Linked DNA regions of Caenorhabditis elegans. The protein of the gene in region 2 purifies or fractionates together with the protein of the main gene of each other region. This does not show direct contact. Each region holds a gene or a part of one and is shown on either strand. Other genes may lie near its edges. The genes, in order: sec-16A.1, tfg-1 and sec-23.

Evidence for each region.
Region 1: the proteins of tfg-1 (region 2) and sec-16A.1 purify together in Caenorhabditis elegans (affinity purification with western blotting; one study listed by BioGRID). This does not show direct contact.
Region 3: the proteins of tfg-1 (region 2) and sec-23 fractionate together in Caenorhabditis elegans (co-fractionation; one study listed by BioGRID). This does not show direct contact.

The regions. Positions count from the first base shown.
Region 1 is NC_003281.10:9,123,235-9,132,251, reverse strand, and holds sec-16A.1 (Protein transport protein sec-16A.1), read right to left. Parts: upstream 6,414-9,017; coding exon 6,399-6,413; intron 6,026-6,398; coding exon 5,986-6,025; intron 5,932-5,985; coding exon 5,832-5,931; intron 5,773-5,831; coding exon 5,605-5,772; intron 5,560-5,604; coding exon 4,965-5,559; intron 4,919-4,964; coding exon 4,806-4,918; intron 4,761-4,805; coding exon 4,322-4,760; intron 4,273-4,321; coding exon 4,117-4,272; intron 4,072-4,116; coding exon 3,796-4,071; intron 3,750-3,795; coding exon 3,544-3,749; intron 3,497-3,543; coding exon 2,425-3,496; intron 2,370-2,424; coding exon 2,220-2,369; intron 2,168-2,219; coding exon 1,882-2,167; intron 1,833-1,881; coding exon 1,750-1,832; 3' UTR 1,445-1,749; downstream 1-1,444. Other genes in the region: ZK512.10 (DUF4752 family protein), read right to left, coding at 944-994, 1,047-1,159, 1,207-1,297, 1,344-1,358; Protein ced-11, read right to left, coding at 7,200-7,484, 7,533-8,099, 8,149-8,455, 8,683-8,944, 8,990-9,017. UniProt on the Caenorhabditis elegans protein: Plays a role in the organization of the endoplasmic reticulum exit sites (ERES), also known as transitional endoplasmic reticulum (tER).
Region 2 is NC_003279.8:14,098,527-14,106,069, forward strand, and holds tfg-1 (Protein tfg-1), read left to right. Parts: upstream 1-2,795; 5' UTR 2,796-2,839; intron 2,840-3,520; coding exon 3,521-3,701; intron 3,702-3,753; coding exon 3,754-3,899; intron 3,900-4,549; coding exon 4,550-5,683; 3' UTR 5,684-5,944; downstream 5,945-7,543. Other genes in the region: tdpt-1 (5'-tyrosyl-DNA phosphodiesterase), read right to left, coding at 966-1,197, 1,331-1,425, 2,098-2,318, 2,368-2,442, 2,506-2,557; dnj-29 (J domain-containing protein), read right to left, coding at 6,268-6,393, 6,534-6,638.
Region 3 is NC_003283.11:20,088,291-20,094,983, reverse strand, and holds the start of sec-23 (Protein transport protein SEC23), read right to left. Parts: upstream 3,722-6,693; 5' UTR 3,717-3,721; coding exon 3,579-3,716; intron 2,827-3,578; coding exon 2,732-2,826; intron 2,677-2,731; coding exon 2,532-2,676; intron 2,483-2,531; coding exon 2,393-2,482; intron 2,119-2,392; coding exon 2,005-2,118; intron 732-2,004; exon of another isoform or gene 518-731; coding exon of another isoform or gene 434-517; intron 274-433; coding exon of another isoform or gene 4-273; exon of another isoform or gene 1-3. Other genes in the region: nlp-69 (Neuropeptide-Like Protein), read left to right, coding at 4-252, 434-517; dcs-1 (m7GpppX diphosphatase), read left to right, coding at 4,242-4,358, 4,446-4,626, 4,674-4,819, 5,478-5,672.

The DNA.
Region 1 (9,017 bases), on a different chromosome or scaffold from region 2:
AATGACAATAGGAAATTGTTTTTGCAAAGGTTTGACTGCATTTTTTCAGAAATTTCTTCAATTTTTGGAGATTTACAATCTGAAACAAATTTGAGTTTCTCAAGCTGGAAGTCTTTTTTCGAGAAAAATTATATCTCACTTTCCAAGTAGTGAAAAATCATAGAAAATTCCACAGACATGGTTGATTGAAAATTACAGTACACTTCAAAGGTGCACACCGTTTGCATTTAATAAAAATTTGATGTGTCGAAACCGGATACCGTACAGTATTCGCATCGGAGCAAAATCTAAATCAACAAAAATTCAGACGGATTATGAATAAGACAAAACAATTCATAAAGTTTATAAGGATAACAACTAGACGCTCTGATGATATCAAAGATTAAATGAAACCTACAATGCTGAAAACTAAAAAAAGGAAAACACTCTCCGAACTTTTCACCCTAAATGGGCGGAGTGTGACACAAAAAAGGTGCCTTCAATGACAGCAAAGTGGCTATGGAAAAAAAGGAAAAAAGGGGAGCAACTTGTGGAAAGTTGGATTAAAAGGCAGAAACAAGAGGTAATGGAAGGGAAAGAGAAGTGAAGGGGGCTAAAACACCTTTTAGTTTACTTGGTTATAGGCATTCCAGGGGGTTCAGGAGAAAAACAATTTGATTGTTAAATTTATCATTTCACATTAACATCACAGAATCCTTTGTAAAAATTGATAAGCGATACAAAGTTTTGAACACAACAATATGTTAAAGGAAAGTTTCACACCTATGTTCATGCCTACACGCCTTCTGCATGCCTACTGTTTACATGCCTGTTTATTCTTCTTCTTTGTGCTTGCCTGAGGCGTCCTCGCACGCCTCGCCTGCCTGGCCTACTAGAATGTGGACAAAAATTAATCAATATCAAATTTATTCTGAACGTCATTTTTCCAATAAATTACGATCCATCAGTGAGCTACTTCAATCCCATCTCCCATTTCGAACGTAATTGGTGATCTCTGAAATTTTGGAAATATACACATTTATTCAATTAGTCTCAATAAAACTCACGACGCTACTCTTTCTATAGCTTCTAACACTATTTTTATCAGTACGAATACCGTAGTGATCAGCGACCGAAGGTGAATGTTTCGCTGCTCCATTCACTGCGATAGATGCTCCTTCTGAAAATCTTTTTTCTGGAAACTGCCTGAAAATAATTGTGACCTACTGGCTACGGTATCCCACCAAGTAGTCATTCTGAGCGAGTTGTAGAGAGAAAAACCGACGAGAAGAAGCTCGAAGAGCACTGAGTACCAAGACTTTAAATATTCGAACATCAATCAGAAATATTAAGAGAAAACTCACGTCCAGTTGATACATTTTCGAATTTGCGAAATAATGGTATTCGATTAGTTTTTTGTTTTGTTTTTAATTCGATTTCAAATGTAAAATTCAAATAGTGATTTCACGGTACATTATATTTATTCATTTCAGTATATATTTATTTACCAGAGAATCAATTCAGAGCACATATTTTCTCGTCAGAACAAAGAAAAACTAGCCTACTTATTTTTCAGATAAAACCGTAACATATATAGTTGCACAACAAAAAAGAAGGAAGATACTATGGAATAATCACAGAAGTTTTTAGAGGAAACGGGCCTGACCAGATAACAGGAAATGGTTATTTGAAAGAATGATAGTGGGTGGGAGGGGGATACAAAAGGCGATGGGGACGACAACACATATAATTTGGAAGAATTGAAGCATATTAATCGTTATTCTGTTTGGATAATGATTCGGAAGGAGCCGTTGGTTCACCGCTGAATGGATCAACATATTCGGAGGAATCATCTGAAAATGAAATTAATTGAAGAAAAAACTAATTCTCAATTAATTATACCTTCAGTGGGTGCAGGCATAAAGCTGAATGACATTGGCATGGTTGGAGGCATCATCGGTGGCATTCCAGTGTCCATAGCTGGTGCTTGGCTAGTGGCCATTCCCGATTGAAGATATCGTGATCCAACTCCACTTCTAGCACTTCGCAGACTATTCGTGCTCGATTTGTTAGAATCAGGACCTCCACCCATCAAATGAGGAGCTGACATGACTGGCGGTGGAGCAGCTACGACCTCTTCTTCTACTCCAGCACCAACATATCTTTTCTGAACAGGATCCCAAACGATCTGAACAAATGAATATTTGATATTCAAAAAATCGGCTTTCAAATTAACATACACTTGGCTTTGAATCGTCAGGCAGGATCATTTGGTTTGCTGATGGAATCGATTTGATGACTTTTTCCTTAATCGATCCGAACCATCCTTTAGATGCTTTTCGTTCATTCAATGCAAGTTCAGGTTGTTTCTGTGGGACAGGCGGCGCAGTCTTTAATAATTAAAAATAATTACTTGTCATTCTGAAGGTTTCACAGAAAACTCACAGTTTTAGCATTTGGAATAGATGCTTGTCCTAGTGTTGCTTGTTGAAGAACCGGAGCAGAAGAAACGGCTGGTGGTGGTGTTGGTACACTTGGAGCTGTTGGGTTTGCAAAGTTAGGTGCAGGCGAATAAGATGGTTGAATATTTCGCGGTGCAGGTGGATATGAAGTTTGATTGCTTGGCGGTGAAGTGTCCCATAAATCATCCAGTTCCGAACGAGGACTTTTTGCAATGCTGGCGTCAACAGGTTTCGGAATAGGAATAGGTTGAGGTGATACCATGATTGGAGTACTGACAGGTGGAATAGGCATCGATAACGTTGGCATCGGTGGCTTCACAATCGCTGGAGGCGTCATCTCAGGAACAACATTTTTAGAAATTGGTGGTGGTGTTGAGATTGGTTTTTCGATAGTTTTTGGAAGGGATGGTGGTGGTGGTAAAGTGGATGAGGTCAACGTTGAAGTTCTTGATGCTGACGCAGCGACAGTAACCGAAGAATCGGATTTATCTGTAAATGTCGATTCAGATGACGATTCAGTAACCAGGGTAGGTGGAGGCAAAGAAGCACGTCCGGGTGCAATTGGTTTCTCGACAGTTTTATCGTTATGTTGTTGATCGTTACGTGATCCAATCTCCAGCGGCGCTTGATGCTCATCATGCCATTTTTTAGCTTCAGACGAAATAGATTTGTTTTCCACTGGTTGTGGCTGTGGAACATGTTGTTGAGATTCTTGAACTGGAGCTGCACCTAGCATTCCTCTCATAGTTGTAATCCAACCACTTTCATCAGGAGTTGCGGCAGCCATGTATTGAAGACTCTCAGCCAGATCGCAAAGATCAAACATTGCATTTTTATCGAAAGCTGCGACATACATCCACAACGATCTTGCTACTTCTGTACAATATCTGAACGCATCCGTAGCAAATCCACCAAAAGACGACAGCTTCTTTGCGTATTCAATACGAGCTAACTGATAATCAATCGATTTTGCTAGTGGTGAATCGACATTGTTATTTCCCAGTCGGAGAGCATAATCAAAAATATCAGTAGCATGAAGATCAGTGAATGAGAATCTGAAAAGCATGTTTTATGTTATGCATATTGTGTTAAGTAATCTTACCCAGCGGTTCCTGATAGTCCATCAACTCGATTCAACAAGTTAGATCCACTATGCACAAGGCCGATGTGCTTTCTCGAAGTTTCATCTCCGTCGTGAGCCACTGGAATAAATGGATCATAACCAGCCAGAATGCATACAACAAGGAGACAGAAATCAGCAGCACAGTTTCGTTCTCTTTTTGCTAGGAGCAAGCCGAGATGATAGATCTGAAAAAAATTTTACAGTTTTAGTTTTGCTTTTCTCCTGCCGTACCGTTTGCATAGCGGTCTGCGAGTTTAGATTCGCAAGAACAATGGCCGCATGTCGTTTCCAATTGTTGTCATCATCGAACGCCGAATTCGTCAGAATCGGAGGTGGTTGATCACTTGAAACTGCAACCAGTGTTGCGAATGGATCGTCAATGGAACGAAGATTCATAAATCGTGCCTCGATTTCCTCAATTTTCTTAGCGTCATTTGGATGCAGTCTACGGATCAATGTCATTGCGTCGGCATAGAGTCCATCGGTTATAGCACTTTCAACAGCTTCCTGAAAAATTATAATTATTTAATTAACAAGATTAGACAAAATTACATTAATGTGACCACCAAGAAGATACTTATTGAACCGCTCCTTTGCTTCGAACTTCGAACCAGACTCGGATGTCCCATTGCTTGAAATTCCAGTTTTTTCACCAAGTTCTTCCGAGGCATTTGTCAGCAGTGTTGCTACATCGGGTCCGGTGACTCTCTTAAAATGTTAAATTCCTACTAAGTTCTCAAATTAAAACAATTCTTACTCCATGTTGCTGAACCATGATTTCGAGCAATTGCCAGACGAGAAGAGCATCCACCACCTCACTTTTCTTTACGTCACCAGCATTTCTGATCTGGCGAAGAGCGTCGATTTGTCGTTGGATGTAGAGACGAACGGAATGAGTTGGAGTTTGTCCAGCAATCAGTGGTCCTTTAAAGTTCTGAACTGATTCGATCACTTTTCCAGATTGTTCATCGAAATGAAGAAATGTTTTCAGATCATCCACATGAACGCTGGATGTACTTAGAACATGTCCAGTGATACTATCGATGGTTCCCGCTGGTTTAATGATCACCAATTTTCCTCCAACACCAATGGTAGCAAACTGAAGGCAGGAGTGATAATGAAGTGGTCCGTTGCTCAACACTTCTTCGGGTTGCGAGATGTTAAGTTTTGGCTCTTCGCGTTCCTCGATTTTATGCCTATAATAATATTTTTGCTCATTGTACCGTTGGTTCCATACTCACTGATTGAAATCCAGTTTCTCGCTCTCTGCAGCTTCTTGTCGTGCTTTTTCGTACGCCAATCTGTCGGCTTCCAGTTGCTTCAGGGAGAATTCTTCTTGCATCCGCTTGCAAACCTGTAATTTAAAATATGAAGCAATTCAATTTTGTCAGTAATCTTACCTTAAAAAGTGCCAGATCTTTAGAATCACCATACCCGCGGTAGGAGTAGAATTCACGATTAAAAATTACGTGAAACTCATCAATATTGTTGTAAGGTTTGTTATTAACGGCACAGTAGAATACATAAGCGACACGGTCGATTGGCGGCATCTTATAGTATTTTTCCGGAGGAGGCATCGTTCGGAACACATGATCAACAATAGCAGAGCCAAGTTTCACAACTCCGTAGTAATAGCTTTCACTTTCGCTATTATAAACTTCAGAGGCAAGGGTATTTGTTACACTCCTGGAGCCTTGTGCTCGTCCTTCCATATAAAAATTTCGTACTTCTTCCTCTTCTTCGTCTTCTTCCAGCTCTTCTGAAGTCTTATCAGACTCTCCACTATCATATACAAAACCATTTCTCATTGAAGATGCGTTCGCATATCTTTCAGCAGCAGTTGATCGTGGTCTCACAGGCTCACGGTGGTTGTTCGGCAGCAATCCCACACCAGCACGACTATTCGCGTAATCACTCGCATATCCAGATGCATTTCGAGCTGAAGGAGCACCAGAGAAACCTTCGCTTGGGCCACGTGAAGAGTTTTGGTGATATCTGCAAATTTCCATAATTAGAAGAAGAAACTCCCTTGTTTTAAACCTTGAATAAGTACGGTCATATCCATTGAAAGTTGAGTTGAGGCCTCTTGAACCATTACTCATTCCAGTACCCTGCCGGTTACTCTTTTGAGATACTGGGCGAGCTGGTTGAATAAGAATGGGTCTTCTTGGTTGTGGAATATCGTTGTCCAGCCGACTGCGTCGAGGCCTGAAAAAAAAGCGATGAAAAGATATCGATCGGCGTGTGAAATTCTTGTATTCACTGACCTTGAATGGTTAACGGATGAAGCGTCATCATCGCCTCCTCTAGAAGACGGAGGTGAAGCATTGTAAGGATTATTCCAGTCACTCATATCGAAACCAGAAGCTGAAAATGAATAGTGATTGATAAAAATTGTTGATAAATCGAATTTTATCATACCTCCGGCATTCATTCGTTGTTCATACTTCATAGAATCGATCTGTAATAAATTAGGCGAATATACAAGTTAAGTGTCGAGATGTTAAAGTCTGTTGGGTAAATATAGAGAGGCAGAAGACAAGGGAAGAAAAGAAAAGAAGGGGCAAATTGAGGTCAACCGTGTCACTTTAGTGCCAACACGGCGACGCAAAAATGCACGGAAAGGGCTGCTGTGGGGAATATGGGAAAATGGGAAAATTGAAAACAAGAATAGTTCAGTTTTCCTTTGTTGGAAGTGATACGAACAGGTGAAAGTGAATGGGAAAATGATATGAATTTTGTTTTTTATTCTTCCAAATGGTAAAATAAATTCGGTTTTTACTTGTTTTCTTAATGGCCTTAAGATTTAAAATTACAATTTTGGGAAATCTTACCCTGTATCGCCGCATTTTCCATTCGAAATCCATAAAAATCGTGGGTTTTTGGGAATTTCCAATTTAAAGTTCAATTCAAAACGCCGCACGGATGTGTTAAAAGCGCGGTGCCACGTGAAGCCAAGCTTAAAAATAAAATAAGACAAAAAGTTCACGCGAGAAATGAATAAACGCGAAAAAAGTTCGAGGTTGAATGAAAAAAATAACTGATAGAAAAACTGTCGTCAGTTTCGGTGCTTGCGGAGTGAACATTGTGTACCGTAGCCACAAAATCGTAAAATCGAAAGCAAGGATTTATTTATTTGTTAACAGAAACAAAGTTGTTTAATAAATACGAAGATTTGTTTTTTCACGAAAAGAACTTATTTTGCTAAGGTATCTTTTATCTCCGTGTCACACCTAAACGGACCAAAAATAACGGGAAAAACAAGGAAGATGACGATAATTAATTAATGAATATACATAATAATTGTGTTAAATTAAAGGAAATAATATTAAGTAATAAAGTGGCGACAAGGAGAAGTATTCTTGGTTCTCCGCATTCGCGACAGTTCTTACAGTTTTACTGCACAACACTCCGCAAACCTAACCAACAATCGCTCTACAATATTTAGAAAAATTTGTTTCAAAACTGCTACAGTACCCCTACATTTTTTGTTAGGCCTCTCATTATATGTGTTTTGGTGAGTGCTTTATTTTTATTCTTCCAAGCTTTATTAAATTATCTCTTAGCTATCAGCTTTAAAAAACAAACATCGAATAACAATTTAAGTGAATTCATAATTTATGAAAGTTGTAGCATTATAACCCGTATATTGTCTTTGCTCGGAAAACAAGATCTGCTTGCCATGGAAGCACTGTTCCACGAATTGCACTCGTAGGAAGCCACGAATAACCGATAATTGTGGTTATTATACGTCGTTCTCGGAGAGAAATAGCCCAAACATCATGCTCCGTCCACGCGTTGTCTGTATCGTTTTCATTTTCTGCAACTTCTGAAGCCAAATGAGCAGGACTCGTGTCATTGGATGGTATTCTTTTGTCCGCAGTGATAATTGAGCTATCCAAACGTCGCATTGAAAACATCTGAAAATACATCACAAATTTTTAAAAGTAATCTTTTTGGTTACTTACATGAGCGTCAGAATCTGAAATTCCAATCATCTTCAAAATAGATGTCAGATGTTCATCTTTCGACGAGTTCTCCAGATGCCATTCATTTGGAATATTCTTCTGACTATCAACTAGAACTTGACATTTCGCTTCAACTCCACCACTCAAAACGACATAATAACAACGTCGATTAGCACCAAATCTCGGATGATTTCCTCTTCCAGCCATTCCAGTTCGACCATTCGGATTCAATGGGAAGCCGGCAGCTGAGAGCTTCCAACATTTATCATTACTACTAGTAACATCATTTGCCTGACGGCTTCTCCAAATTCGTTTTAGTTCTCCAACATTTTGCTCCGTGGCAATATCAACATACTTTTGCACATCTGATGGAAAATCTTCCGCAGGCTTACAATAGAAGGGGGGATTGTATCTAGGTACAAGCACTGTCCATGGCTTAGACACCATGTTCACACTAATCTTCAGAATGTTACTTTCTGGGTATTTCTCGAAAAATTGAAGTTCTGAAGCTTTTCGTGTACCCGAATTTTCATATGAATCTCGCAAAGTCATCATTCGAATGTGGTTCTGAAATTATTTTCAGTTTTAAACTTGTGTTTAAAAAAATAAATCTTACATGAATATTATGAAGTTCCTGAAGTTCTGATTTGTTTGCTGATATCTTCGCTTTCTGCTGTGTATTTTTCCATTGTTCCATCGAAAGCTTTCTCCAGAATGAGTTCACAAACTCGTTTCTCTTGAATGGAACAGATGGGTTACGGTAGATTGATCCAAATTTCCACGTGGTTCTGCACTTGTCTCTCGCTTCGAAATCAGGATGATCAAAGTCTGAGAAGAAACCGGAGAATGAGTTGGAGAAGCGACAACAAGCCGAGCAAATGAGACAGAAAATGGTAAGTGGTGGAGGAAGTGGTGGGCGCAGTCTGAAAATTGATGACCTCAAAGATGGAGTACCGTCAGTATTTTGTCTTTTTGTCAGTTCTAAAATGTTGCTTTTTGATAAATATTTTTTGACCATATACATATCAACTTTTTTGAAAAGTTTAAATGTTTTCAGTAATTTTATTCAGTAATTTTATCACCATAGGAGTAAGATTATACATTTTCCCTTACTGGAATGTTTTGTAAAAACTAATTTCCATTCTCTTACCTAAAATCTTCCGCCAACGAGTACAATTGGAATCTCCAAATTTTATCAGCCTCGTCGTCCACATTTTTTGCAGTTTTTGAGAAAAATGCAAAAAGAATTGGCCACAGCAACAATTTCAGAATGACAAAGTATTCGATTACTATCAAATAGGCAGGAAGAGATTGTGAAGGACATGATGGATTTGCATATTGGCCTACTGACGAACAATATCTTTTTGGAGCACCGAGGAACGATTTGCGACAAGTTTCCGATTCAGATAGGTCTGAAAAATATCAAGGATAGATTTGAATTTATAATTTTAAATTACTTGAAAGATCTGTAGTGAACAGACTCAA
Region 2 (7,543 bases):
TGAAAATACTCGAAATTTCCCTCATTTTTCTTCAAAAAAAGCTCCAAATTTTCAAAATTCTAGGGATTTCCCTCAAAAATCAGAAGAAAAACTGAAAGAATCAGGGTTTTAACCAGAATTCCGAAAAAAAAATTGGTTGAGGCTCAGGCTACAAACTACAAAATCGGCTTAGCCTCACCAAACATTTCCGGAGCGAAATCTGGTGAAAATACTCGAAATTTCCCACATTTTTTCTCAAAAAAGCTCAAATTTCCATAACATTTCATGTATTTCCGACAAAAATCATTGAAAAATTCAAAAAAATTACAAATAAAATTGATTGAAGCTCAGGCTACAAACTACACATTTGGTTAGCCTCACCAAAGTTTCAACGAATTTTTTTCGAACTCACACTACATACTGTGATTTTCAGCTAGAAATTGCAGAATTCTGATTGAAAAAAATCAATTATATCTCGAAAATCTTACAACAAAAAAGAGATTTTCAGGAAGACATAGGGATTTTCCGTAAAATTTGACCGAAAATTGATTTTAAAACCTGAAAATCTAGATTTTTTCAGTGGAAAATCCCATTTTCTGTAAAAATTTGAAGTTTTTTGCAAGAAAAACAAGAGGGAAAACATTTGAGGGGAAAAATTGGTTGAGGCCTACACTACAAACTACAAATGTGGTTAGCCTCAACCAATATACATTTTGCTCGATTTTAAGGTATTTTTTGCGGAAATTGATTGATTTTTACGGGAATTTTTATATTTTGTTTTGAAAAAATGGATTAAAATGCGAGAATTTTTCAAAAAATCTTTTTTTTCAGTAAAAAACTGAAAAATTCGATTATTGCGATAAAAATTGATTGAGGCTCAGGCTACAAATTACAAATTTGGGTAGCCTCAACCATCATTTTCACTCATTTTTAGCGGTTTTCCGGGATTTTTTCTTAAAATTTCGTCTATTTTCTGAAAAATTAACCTTCAAACCGCCAATAGATCCCTCCAAAATCTGCAAAGTTCTGTACATTCCAGAATTCTGAAAATGAATGACGTCATGCTTCTCGACGTCGAACATTTTCGACACAAGAATCGCCGTATAATATTGGCAGCCTTTGTTCGAATAATAGATTTTATACAGCGATTGAAGCTTATCAATCGGCGCCAAATCACGGTCGACGACTTCTTGGAGGAATAGGATGTCCGGATTGACGCTGAAATTTTTTTTTGGCGTTTCAGGTTGATTTTTGAAGATTTTTGACGGTTTTTAGTGATTTTTTTGCTGATTTTGCATCAAAATCAACTAAAAATTTGAAAATTCCGTGAAAAATCGCCGATTTTGCTCACTTTTTGACAATATGAGCCACTGCTTTCATTCTTGTGAGCAAGCTTCTCCCGTCGAGCCCATCAATGTTCCACGACATTACGCTGACTTCGAATCCCTGAAAAAATTTGAAATTTGTTGGAAAAATCGCGAAAAAAGTGAATTTTTTTTTGGTGAGGCTAAGCCGAGTTTGTAGTTTGTAGTCTTAGCCTCAACCAATTTTTTTTTCGGAATTCAGGTTAAAAGCGTGATTTTTTTCAGTTTTTCTAAAGATTTTCGAAGGAAATTCATGAAATTTTATGGAAATTTGAGCTTTTTTGAAGAAAAATGAGGGAAATTTCGAGTATTATGCTTCGGAAATGTTTGGTGAGGCTATACCGATTTTGTAGTTTGTAGTCTTAGCCTCAACCAATTTTTTTTCGGAATTCCGGTTGAAAGCGTGATTTTTTTTTAGTTTTTCTACTGATTTTTGAAGGAAATCTATGAAAATTTATGGAAATTTTAGTTTTTTTGATAAAAAATGAGGAAAATTTCAAGTATTTTCGCCAGATTTCGCTTTGGAAATTTTTGGTGAGGCTCGGCCGATTTTGTAGTTTGTAGCCTGAGCCTCAACCAATTTTTTTTTTCGGAATTCCGGTTGAAAAAGTGATTTTTTTCAAATTTTCAATGATTTCTGTGAAAAATCACTGAAATTTTACGGAAATTGCAGCATTTTTGAGGTTTTTTAACTCGAAAATCGATGTTTTTAGGTGGTTTGGCTTGATTTTGCTCCAAATATTCTTCTATTAACCTTCAAATCCTCTGCCGTCATCACCGCAGCTCCAGAGCTCGCCATAGACGATGAAGCGCCCATTACGGCCGCACTTCTGGCCTCTGCGAACGCCTCACTCCCGTAAAAAACGTCCAGAGCCTTCTTCAAATCCCAGTCTACATCCTGTAAAATCGACTGCGCAAAAGCCTCATCTGTGGCCGTGATTATTGCAAATTCATGCAGTTTTTGCTCGTCGCTCACTGAAAAATCGCGGATTTTCGCCTTAATTTATTGATTTTTCGGGTTTACTCGACGAATTTTTCAGTTTTCCTTGCTCCGGCTCATCTAGAATCTCGATTTCGACCTCGGAATCTTCTTGGGACACTGAAATATATTTTATTTGATTTAAAATTCAAATATTTTGAATTTCCAGCTGCAAAGCCTTACTTTTCTGTCGTTTAGCCTCAATTTCCTGTATTTCATCGTCAGAATTCGACATTTTTGAGCTGAAATTAGAGGATTTTATCATATTTTTTCAGAAAACGCGAAAAATCCACACGATAACTATTGAAATTCAAAAAATCGCGAAAAGAATAACTGAAAAGGCGGAGTCTAGCCGGGGGGCGTACCCTATTTGCAATCCTGGCACGCGTGTTGCAACTGCGGCGCACTTTTACCGAACGTGGAATTTTATATCGCGGATTTGGATCGTTTTTCTTCCCGTTATTTTCCCATTTTTCCTTGGTTTTCTTGCAGAAAATCCATAAAAATAGCAAGAAAAGTGAGTATTAGAGGTTAAAATCGATATTTTCACCATAAAAAAACCCCAGAAAACCGGCAAAAAACGATGAAAATCCGTGTGGAATTTTTTTAGACCTAGTTTCGCAATTTTTTCAATATTATCTTGAAGATTTTGATCTATTTTCGTGATCTTTACTTATTTTATGTGCCATATCCCGATTTTTATACCGAAAACCCGCGAAAATCTAGAGATTCCGATGGAATTGCTTTATTATATTACACGTGGAACTATTTTATTTCTTGATTTCTGCCGGTTTCTTGCTTTAAAATCTTAGAAAATAGCGTTTCAAGTGGGTTTTAGAGCCGAAAATTTAGATTTTCGATAGGAAAATCGCCTAAAAATCGATGAAACCATATTTTTGGCCTACTCCCGCTCTAATTTTGAAACTTTGATCTCGTTTAGGTCGAATTTCAACTAAAAAGTCGAATTTTCCTGTCAAAACACATGAAAATCCAAAATTTTCGTAAAAATATGAGCTCCGGATAAACTTGGGTGAGGCTGAGCCAATTTCGTAGTTTGTAGCCTGAGCCTCACCAAAATTCGGATTCTGTGTTTAATTCTTGATTTCTAGTTGATTTTCGCCGGTTTTTTTTTGCTTTTTTCTTTCTTTTTCTCCCGCAAAACCCAATTTTCCCTTTAAAAAACCCCCGTTTTTTCCAGATGGTGCATTCAAACGGAGCCATCACGAGCACAATTCTGAAGGCTCGTCACGCCGACGTCGTCCGCAAGACGTCACTTCACCACGCCAACGACTTGACACTCATCGATCTCGTGCTCAATGTGCAGCGGCTTTTGGCTCTCCCATCCGACGCGAATTTCGTGTTGAAGTACAAGGATGAAGGTAGGAATTGCACTGAAAATTGCGATTTTAATTCAATTTTTGTCAATTTTAGAAGGCGATTTGGTGACACTCGCCGAGGATAGCGACCTCCTGCTGGCTCTTCACACGTCTGGAGCCACGCTCGACGTGACCGTCGTTGTCGACTCGAGAGCTCGTGAGGCTGTGCACGATGTGCAGAAGCAAGTCGAGCAGATTAAGGTAAGGAGGATTTTGAGCGAAAAAAAACGATTTTTGAGCTGAAAAGCGCAATTTTGAGCGGGAAAATGCAAAATGTTGCAGAATTTTCATCGAAAATGCTGCATTTTTGAGCTTTTTAGACAAAAAAAAATCCGGAAAAACACTGAAAAATGTTGGTTGAGGCTAAGAAACAAGTGTAGTTTGTAGTGTGAGCCTCAACCAAACTAGCCAAAGCTTGAGTGAGGCTATGGTGATTTTGTAGTTTGTAGCTTTAGCCTCAACCAAATTAGCTAAAGCTTGAGTGAGGCTATGGTGATTTTGTAGTTTGTAGCTTTAGCCTCAACCAAATTAGCTAAAGCTTGAGTGAGGCTATGGTGATTTTGTAGTTTGTAGCTTTAGCCTCAACCAAATTAGCTAAAGCTTGAGTGAGGCTATGCAGCTTTTTTTTGTTTATAGTGTGAGCCTCAACCAATTTTGTTTTTAAAATTCACAAAATCTTTGGTTTTTCACTGAAAAATTGGAGAAATTTCAGCGTTTTCATTGATTTTTAAACAAAATTATCCAAATAATCGGTTTTTTTTTTCAATATTTTTAACACAAAATGGCTAAAAATTGGAATTTCTAGTACTACAGCTAGCGAAAAACGAATTTTAATTCAATTTTTCTTTCAGCTTGATGTTGGAAAGCTTCTTGGCGCTCTCAGTGCTCTCGACGTTGCCCAGATCGCCGAACAATCGAACACATCGGTGGCGAATCTCTCGGCTCCAAAACAATCTCACCACGACAATATTGTGTTCCAAAAGAGCTTCGAAGCGGCTCCACCATCGCCAGTGCCTTCCGAGAAGGCCGAGCTCCCGGCGACGATCCAACCGTCGGTTCACGAGCAATTCAATCATCGCCCGGCGCACGTTGAGGAGGAGATTCCGTTGGAGAATCACTATGCTCCACCACCACATCAGCAAATTCCCGATGATCTGAACACTAGCTTCAGCTCCCAGCCACCGCCACCAATTGAGCAATTCGGAGCGATTCCGCCACCGAACGCGACGATCCCGTCGTTCCCAACGTCGAATGCGGCGAGCCCACCAGTTCAGGAGTTTGCTCCACCGCCTCCACAGCAGCAGCAGCAACAATTCCAGGCTCCACCACCACCGATGGCGTCGCACTCTTCGATCTCGTCGACTCCAGTGCAGCAGCAAGGATTTGCTCCACCGCAGCAGTTTGGCGGGCCACCACCGTCTGGACCACCATCAGAGTATGGAGGATATGCTCCACCACAGCAGCAGCAGCAGCAATTCGGAGCCCCACCACCGCAGGGAGCTCCCCAGCAAGGATTTGGAGCACCGCCACAAGGGCCACCACAGGGAGGACCACCACAAGGATCCTTCGGAGCTCCACCACCCCAGCAATTCCATGCTCCATCACCACAATCGTTCGGAGGGCCACCGCCGCCAGTATCAAGTGCTCCAGGAAACTTTGCCCCTCCACCACAATCGGGACCACCGGGCGCTTTTGCTCCACCACCATCCGCCTTCGGAGCACCACAGGGGCCGGGAGGCCCAGGAGGCTACGGTCCACCACCGCCAGGAGGCCCAGGAGCCCCAGGATCGTACGGACCACCACAAGGAGGCCCAGGAGGATTCGGACCACCACCTCCAGGAGGCCCAGGAGCCTACGGACCACCGCCAACCGGATTCCCACCAGTCGGAGCACCGCCACCGGGAGCCGCCGGAGCCCCGGGAGGAAATCCATTCGCACGAGGACCATCTGCCACGGGATACCGCCAGTCGCCGTATCAGCAGTAATTAATCGATAATTTATTGATGTTTTCTTCTTTGTTTGTTTGATTCCCATAATTTAAATATTTTATGTTTTCCCCCGTCCTTCCCCCCTAGTGTACAAGTTTCCTTTTCTACTCGCTCGCCCCTGTTTCCTTGTGATATAGCGCTGGAGCGCCTTTTCTCTTTTCCACGTGGAATTCACATCAATTCTTGTCGTCTTCTCTCTCTCTTTCTCCTTTTTTTAGTGGTATATAATATTTATGATATGAATTTAAAAAATCTCGGGCTCCTGTCTCTGAAATTCTTTTTAATTGAAGCATAGAAAAAAGGGTCTAAATTTCATGTAACTATGTAGAGGAAACATTTTCAAAAGTGATGTGATTGGTGGGAAGGGAATAGAAATAATAATGCATAGGGAACACGAAAACATACAAATTTTTTTAAATAAAATATTTAATTTAATTACTTTTAGAAGAACAGAAAACCCAGTAGAGAAATTGATTGAAATTTTTTTGGAGAAAAGTGCGGGAGAACAATGGGGGGCCACTGAAGAAAAATTGAAAAATAAATTAACGAATAATTTGGAGAGCAATTGTTGGAGCATTTCGCTACTCTTCATCCGAGTCATCGTCTTCTGTATAATCATCGTCCGACGACACTTCGACGGCTTCATCGTCCTCATCCACGTAGTCGTCGTGCTTGATTTCGACGAATTTCGCCTCTTTCACGTCGATCTGCAATAATTTTGAATTTATTGTTGAGAAATTTGCTGCTTTTTGTGTCGAAAATGGATTTTTTGAGGAGAAATTCGCCTGAAAATATAATTTTTTACAATTTTTCGCATTAAAATCCGTCATTTTCAATCAAAAATCACCTTAAAATCAACACTATACTCCGCATCCATATAGGAATCCGATTTGACCGACAAATTGTACGTGTAGATTCCTTTGTGTGGTGGAGCCGCGAATCGAATGTCAATCTGAAAGAAATCAATAGGAATTTAGTGGGAAATGGAGTTTTTAGTGCAAAAATATGCCATTTTTTGGGGCGAAAACTTCAAATTTTGGCATAGTTTTGCCAAAAAAATCGTCAAAAACGTAGGAAAAAATTGTGGTTGAGGCAGATTCTGTAGTTTGTAGCCTGAGCCTTACCTAACGAAAAATACAATTTTTTTCTTTTTTATCTGTAATTAAGGAAGGAAACAACAAATTGTTTAGAAAAATTGATCGTTTTTAGCATTTTTTTTCTAAAAAAAATCCATAAAAATTTCAGAAAATCCCGATTTTTAACCGAAAAAGCATTAGAAATATTGGTTGAGGCTCAGACTACAAACTACAACTCCCATTAGCCTCACCCAAATTGGTTGAGGCTAAACCGATTTTGTAGTTTGTAGTGTAAGCCTCACCGAGATTTAGTGGGTTTTAAATCGATTTTTCAACTAGAAAATGCTGATTTTAGGATAAAATCCTTCAAATTTATAGGTTTTCAACGCTAAAATTCGAATTTTCCTTCAAATTTCCAAGAAAAATACTCAAAAATCGACATTTTCCGTGTCAAAGTCCTTCAGAAAATCCCGATTTTCAACCGAAAAAGCATTAGAAATATTGGTTGAGGCTCAGACTACAAACTACAACTCCCATTAGCCTCACCCAAATTGGTTGAGGCTAAACCGATTTTGTAGTTTGTAGTGTAAGCCTCACCGAGATTTAGTGGGTTTTAAATCGATTTTTCAACTAGAAAATGCTGATTTTAGGATAAAATCCTTCAAATTTATAGGTTTTCAACGCTAAAATTCGAATTTTCCTTCAAATTTCCAAATTTTCAAATTTCCAAGAAAAATACTCAAAAATCGACATTTTCCGTGTCAAAGTCCTTCAGAAAATC
Region 3 (6,693 bases), on a different chromosome or scaffold from region 2:
AAAATGCACTTCTTCCCAATCCTCCTCCTATCAATCCTACTGATTCTGATCTCCACTTGCTCATCAACCTTGGTCAACAACTCTCCGACCGCCGCCTTCGACACTAACGCCTATTCTGAGCTCAACGCAAAGGCAAAAGCTTCGATGCGTCGGTTGGCCGATATTCTGGACTTCGAGATGTATCAACGACGTTTGTCGGCGGCTCCCGACAACTCATATTATTATCAAATTTCCCCGCCACATCATCAACGCGTGAGTTTCGACGATTATTGATTGCTTTTTCACTATTTTTTGCTGCCCATTTTTCGTGTGCAATTTATTTCCCATCACCACCCTCCAAATACCCATATTTTGCATGTTTTTTCGCCGATTTTCCGCTGTTTTCCGAATAAAAACGTTCCAAGTTGATATATATGGGCTCCGTATCTTCCAGATTTCCTCACTTCCGCTGACCATTTTCCCGCTGCCAGACAAACGATTGCATCGGATAGGCGGAAATATTGTTATGGGAAAATAAAATGACATCTTCTTTGGCTACAAACACACTAATACTACTACTACTACTGATGATGATGATTATTATTTGTATTGTTAATTGTATTATTATTATTCATCTAATTAAATAATATTAATGATATAATACAACTGAATAATAATAATAATAATAATAATAATAATAATAATAACATGTTCAATATGTCTTATGAAGTTTGAATAAAAAAGTGTATAGTCGGTGTATAGTCGTTAATTAACCTATTAACTTAAAGGTGGTGTAGTCGAAAATTATTGAAAATTCACAGATTTCAGTGAAAAATTCGAACAAAACAAGGCTATACACTTTTTAATTCAATTTTCCATCCAAAATCTTATAATTCTATTCATTGGTTAGTAGTATGGTAATTCAATTAAATAATGCGCTACTTATGCTCAATTGACCCAGTTTTCTCGAAAAAGTAGGATTCTTCATAAAAAATAAATGTTAAATTGAATGTTATACTATATATATAGTTGTTCTGAAACGTTACAGCTCTGCGGAATAGGTAAAGGTGGTGTAGTCGAATTTTTTTTATTGCCTTATTAGACTCAAAATTGTCTGAAAACACCGAATTTCATAATGAAACTTCTTGAAAACTTGACAAAAAAAAGTTATGGCGGCTCAAAAAATGGCCTAAAATTAGTTAAAATTTGAAATTTGACCGACTTGTCAAGCGGCTGGAAACACTTTTTTTTTGAAATCACCGTCAAATTTTGAGTTTACAAGTTGATTATCTTGCGTTTTAAACTTGATTAAGGTATTTAAAAATCGATGTACGGCGAGATTTTTAATTTTTTTTATCGATAAACTCGCCGTCCATCGATTTTTAAATAGCTTAATCAAGTTTAAAACGCAAGATAATCAACTTGTAAACTCAAAATTTAACGATGATTTCAAAAAAAAAAATTTCCAGCCGCTGCGACATTGATAAGTTAGTCAAATTTCCGATTTTAACTAATTTTAGGCCATTTTTTGAGCCGTCATAACCTTTTTTTGAAAAGTTTTCAAGAAGTTTTATTATGAAATTCGGTGTTTTCAGACAATTTTGAGTCTAAATAAAGCAATTTGAAAAAAATCGACGACACCACCTTTAACTATTCCGCATTTTAGAGCTTTAACGTTTCAGAACAACTATATATATAGTATAACATTTAATTTAACATCTATTTTTAATGAAGAATCCTACTTTTTCGAGAAAACTGGTCAATTGAGCATATTGAGCGCATTATTTAATTGAATTACTATACTAGTAACCAATGAATAGAATTATAAGATTTTGGATGGAAAATTGAATTAAAAAGTGTATAGTCTTGTTTTGTTCGAATTGTTCACTGAAATCCGAGAATTTTCAATAATTCTCTAATTTTTCGCTATTCATTTTGCATTTACTTAGTGTTTTTTTTTTGGCATTTTTCGGCATTTTTCAGGCTTCTAACCCAAAAAATCCAATTTTCCCTGCAATTTATTACCTTGAAAACGTAGCTTCTCGAGATTCCCTGAGTGTTGAGCTCATGCAGCTGGACCATTCTACCGTAGGTGATCAATCCGACGAGAGCATCGGCTGGGAGCAGCGAGAGAGCAGTCTGAAATTGGAAAAATTGGGAAATTTTGCCCAAAAATCTGAATTTTACGGCAAAAATTGCCAATTTTCATGAAAAATAACACTATTATGTTTAAAAAAGTCGAATTTTCAAGCGAAAATGAGCAGAAATTCCCATTTTTCAGCAGAAATTCCCATTTTTGAGTGAAAAAATCACAAATTTTGAGTTGGAAAACCGACGAATTTTCGAGCAATTTTCCGCGAAAATTTTAAAAAACCGCCGTTTTTTTCTCAATTTTCTGCAATTTGTCCCGTACTTGAAGGCATTCTTTCAGCGATTTCAGCTCCTCTGCAGTCATACACGTGTCGACGACGAAAACGAAGATCGGCGGCATTGTGGTGGCTTTCTGGAATAAAGATTTGGCTTAAAACTCGGATTTTTCAGCATTTTCTCACTCGAAGCGTGTACTCAATGGTTGTAAATTGTGGATAGAGCTCCGGCGGGCGGTTATCCTCGGCAATTGCCGCATAATGAGCCGGGAACGGATTCCGATTGTTGCAGAATGGGCACATCCAGATTTTGGCGCGATAATCGACGGCGCTGAAAGCATCATTTTTCGGGGTGAAAATCGGGCAAAAAAAGGCCTGAAACTCACCAAAGTGGGTTTAAAATCGCTTTACAGCTGGCTTTTTGGCACAAAACCGGATCATATTCCAGTGGTGGTTGGGCGACTTCTGTTGATGGGCGCTCCTGGAAAAAAAATTTGGTTTTTGAGAGAAATTTGATGAGAAATCGTGAAATTTCAGCTTAAAATCGGCTTGAACTCCGCAAAATTGGATTAGCAGCGCCTAAAGCTTGTAGTTTGTAGTTTAGCAGCGCCTAAAGCTTGTAGTTTGTAGTTTCAGCAGCGCCCAAAATTGGATTAGCAGCGCCCAAAACGTGTAGTTTGTAGTTTAGCAGCGCCCAAAATTGAATTAGCAGCGCCCAAAACTTGTAGTTTGTAGTTTTAGCAGCGTTCAAAATTGGATTAGCAGCGCCCAAAACTTGTAGTTTGTAGTCTAAGCAGCGCCCAAAATTGAATTTTTTTTTTGCGTTTCTCAGCGGAATTTTACGATTTTTGCAGAGATTACCGACTTTTTAAGGTAAAAATGCAGAAATTCCGATGGAAATTGAGAAAAAAATCGCGTTTTTAATCGAAAAATTGCTGAAATTCATGCCTTCGGTGTTTCGAAGCTGCCGATCGGCTCGAGCAGCTACCAAATTTGAATTTTTAGAAGATTATAACGAATTTCTGGCAAAAAATGAAGCAATCCACTAAAATTTGCAAAGATTCGGAGAAAATTGATGGAATTTCGATGGATTTGAAGAAAAATTGCTGAAAATAGGCTTTTCCTCAGCTTTTGGCGCTGCTCGGCAGCTACAAAATCCAATTTTCAATGCTTAAAATTCAATAATTCCACGAAAAATTCGAAGAAAATCCAGTTTCCGCGCCTCAGTTTTACCTTCAGCGGCGTGAAAAAGCAGGTGAGCGGGACGACAAGCTTCTGAGAATCCACTCGACTGTGTGGCCACATGTTCCACGTGAATTGGACGCCATCGTTCGCCTGTTGAGCACCCAAATATTCTTCCCAAGTGGCCATTTTTACTGGAATAAACTGGTAATGAACTTTTTATCGCGGAAAATGATGAAAAACGAGGAGAATACGTGGATTACGTGTGAAATTCTGGTTTTTCACCATTAAATTTTAATTTTATTAATATAAAACACTGAAAATCACGTTTAATAGCGAAAAATCGAGTTTTTTGGGTTTTTATGGTTGCCCAATCAATTTTCGTCATTTTTTCGACATATGCAAGGTGAAAACTATGATTTTTACACTAAAATCAATAAAAATCGACTTATTTTCAATATTTTAGCAAGAAAAATCAGAAAAAATGGTGAAAAACGAGTGAAAATCTGCAAAATTCCAACAGAAAATGTACACGTGGAGGAAGATGGCCGAGAAAAGAATTGGAGTTTTCTAGGCCGCGGCCAGTGTGTTGTTTTACGATGCGTGACACTTTTGAAAATGTTTTTTGAGTTGGTTTTCTCGATTTCTACCGTTTTTCGTTGCAATTTCTGTATCTTTTTGGTGAATAATAAGTGAAAATCTCGATTTTTCAGTATGAAACGGATCGCCGACGAGGAACTTGTGCGAGAGGAGCGTGCAGAGGAGAGTACACAGAAATGGCTGCAGGATGCCAAGTTTCAAGAGATTTTAGGCGCTGATTCGTCGCATAAGGTGAGAAAATCAATAAAAAGTGAATTTTTTGCATTAAGAAACAATAAATTTCACCTAAAAATCATAAAAATCAATATTTTCTTCCAGTCTCTCTTCGTTTTGCTCTCCCATCCCGATGGATCTCAAGGCATTCTGCTTGCCAACAAGTCTCCGTTTTCCGAAGAAAAATCCGATATCGAGAAGCTTCTGGCGACTGCACAGCTTCAAGAAATCTCCAGAAATGACATTTTCGGGTCCTATAATATAGAAATCGATCCCAAATTGAATTGTAATCCACACAATCTTGCTTAAATTAATTTTTAATTCAATTTTCAGTGCTAAAATCTCAACTAATCTACCCGATAAACGATCGTCTCATTGCAAAATACCGTCAGGAGGAGAAATTCGTGATTCGAGAGACTCCAGAGCTTTATGAGACTGTTACAAGGCCGTATATTGAGAAATATCAGCTGAATCTCAATGTAAGCAGCGAAAAAATGAAGAAAATCGGAGAAAATACCAAGAAAATGAGTTTAGCAGCGCCCAAAACGTGTAGTTTGTAGTTTAGCAGCGCCCAAAACTTGTAGTTTGTAGTCTTAGCAGCGCCCAAAATTGAATTAGCAGCGCCCAAATCTTGTAGTTTGTAGTCTTAGCAGCGCCCAAAATTGAATTAGCAGCGCCCAAATCTTGTAGTTTGTAGTCTTAGCAGCGCCCAAAATTGAATTAGCAGCGCCTAAAACGTGTAGTTTGTAGTGTTAGCAGCGCCCAAAACGTGTAGTTTGTAGTCTAAGCAGCGCCCAAAATTGAATTAGCAGCGCCCAAAACGTGTAGTTTGTAGTCTAAGCAGCGCCCAAAATCACGATTATCGATTTTCACTCGTTTTTCTTCGATTTTTTCGAATTTTTTGATTTTTCTTTTGGTTTTAAGTGAAAAACAAGACAGAAAATGAGAATATTCTGCAAAAAATTGACAAAAACCATTAAAAATTCGTAGATTTTCTCTGTTTTTCAGAGTTTTTAGCGTTCAAAGTGAATAAAAATTCGGAAATTAGTAGAAATACTGAAAATCGCACAATTTTAAATGAGAAAATGCGATTTTCCGCTCGAAATTTCTTTTTCAAAAATCAATTTTTCGTTTCAGTGGGTGTACAATTGCCTGGAAAAGCGCTCGGAAGTCGATAAAATCGTGTTCGAAGACCCCGACAATGAAAATGGCTTCGTACTTCTTCAGGATATCAAATGGGACGGAAAAACCTTGGAAAATCTCTATGTTCTCGCTATTTGTCACCGCCACGGCCTGAAATCTGTCCGGGATTTGACTGGAGATGATTTGGAGGTAGAAAATCGGATTTTCTACCGGAAAATTGCAATTTTCGCTGAAAAAAAAAGCAAAATCACTCTAAAATGACGATTTTTCGCCCAATAAATCGCAAATTGTAGTTAAAAAACGTGAAATCTCTCTAAAATTGTCCGGAAATGGCAAAATCAAGATTTTACCGAAATTTCCGTCAAAAATCACCAAAAATGCAAAATATCTCTGAAAATCTGCAATTTTAGGCACAAAAGCAAAGAAAAATGTCAAGTTTCGCACAATAGTACCGATATTTATCTGAAAATTACATTTTTCCACTCAAAAATCGACAACTTGTAGTTTGTAGTCTTAGCAGCGCCCAAAATTGAATTAGCAGCGCCCAAAACTTGTAGTTTGTAGTTTAGCAGCGCCCAAAATTGAATTAACAGCGCCTAAATCTTGTAGTTTGTAGTTTTAGCAGCGTTCAAAATTGAATTAGCAGCACCTAAATATTGTAGTTTGTAGTCTAAGCAGCGCCCAAAATTGAATTAGCAGCACCTAAATATTGTAGTTTGTAGTCTAAGCAGCGCCCAAAATTGAATTAGCAGCGCCCAAAACTTGTAGTTTGTAGTTTAGCAGCGCCCAAAATTGAATTAACAGCGCCTAAATCTTGTAAATCTCGGGCGGAGACAGCTCGCCACGCCCACATCGAGTTAAACGCAGCGGCGCGCGGAACCCGTAGGATGTCCGCGGCCTGATATTGGTTGGTCCCAGAATTTTTGCTTTTTCTCCGTGAGTAGACGAGAAAAAGGCGGGGCCTAAATTTGAGGTTTTCTGCAGTACACGCCACGCAGTTTTCTTATTTTGAGTGTAAGCAGCGCCCAAAATTAAATTAGCAGCGTCCAAAACTTGTAGTTTGTAGGCTAAGCAGCGCCCAAAAATTGTGTAGTTTGTGAAATTTCCGGTAAAATGCTAGTTTTTCTTGCAATTTTCACTGAAATTTCAAGTTTTCGAGTCAAAAAATGCCAATTTTCACCGTAAAATATCGATTTTTGAGTGAAAAAAG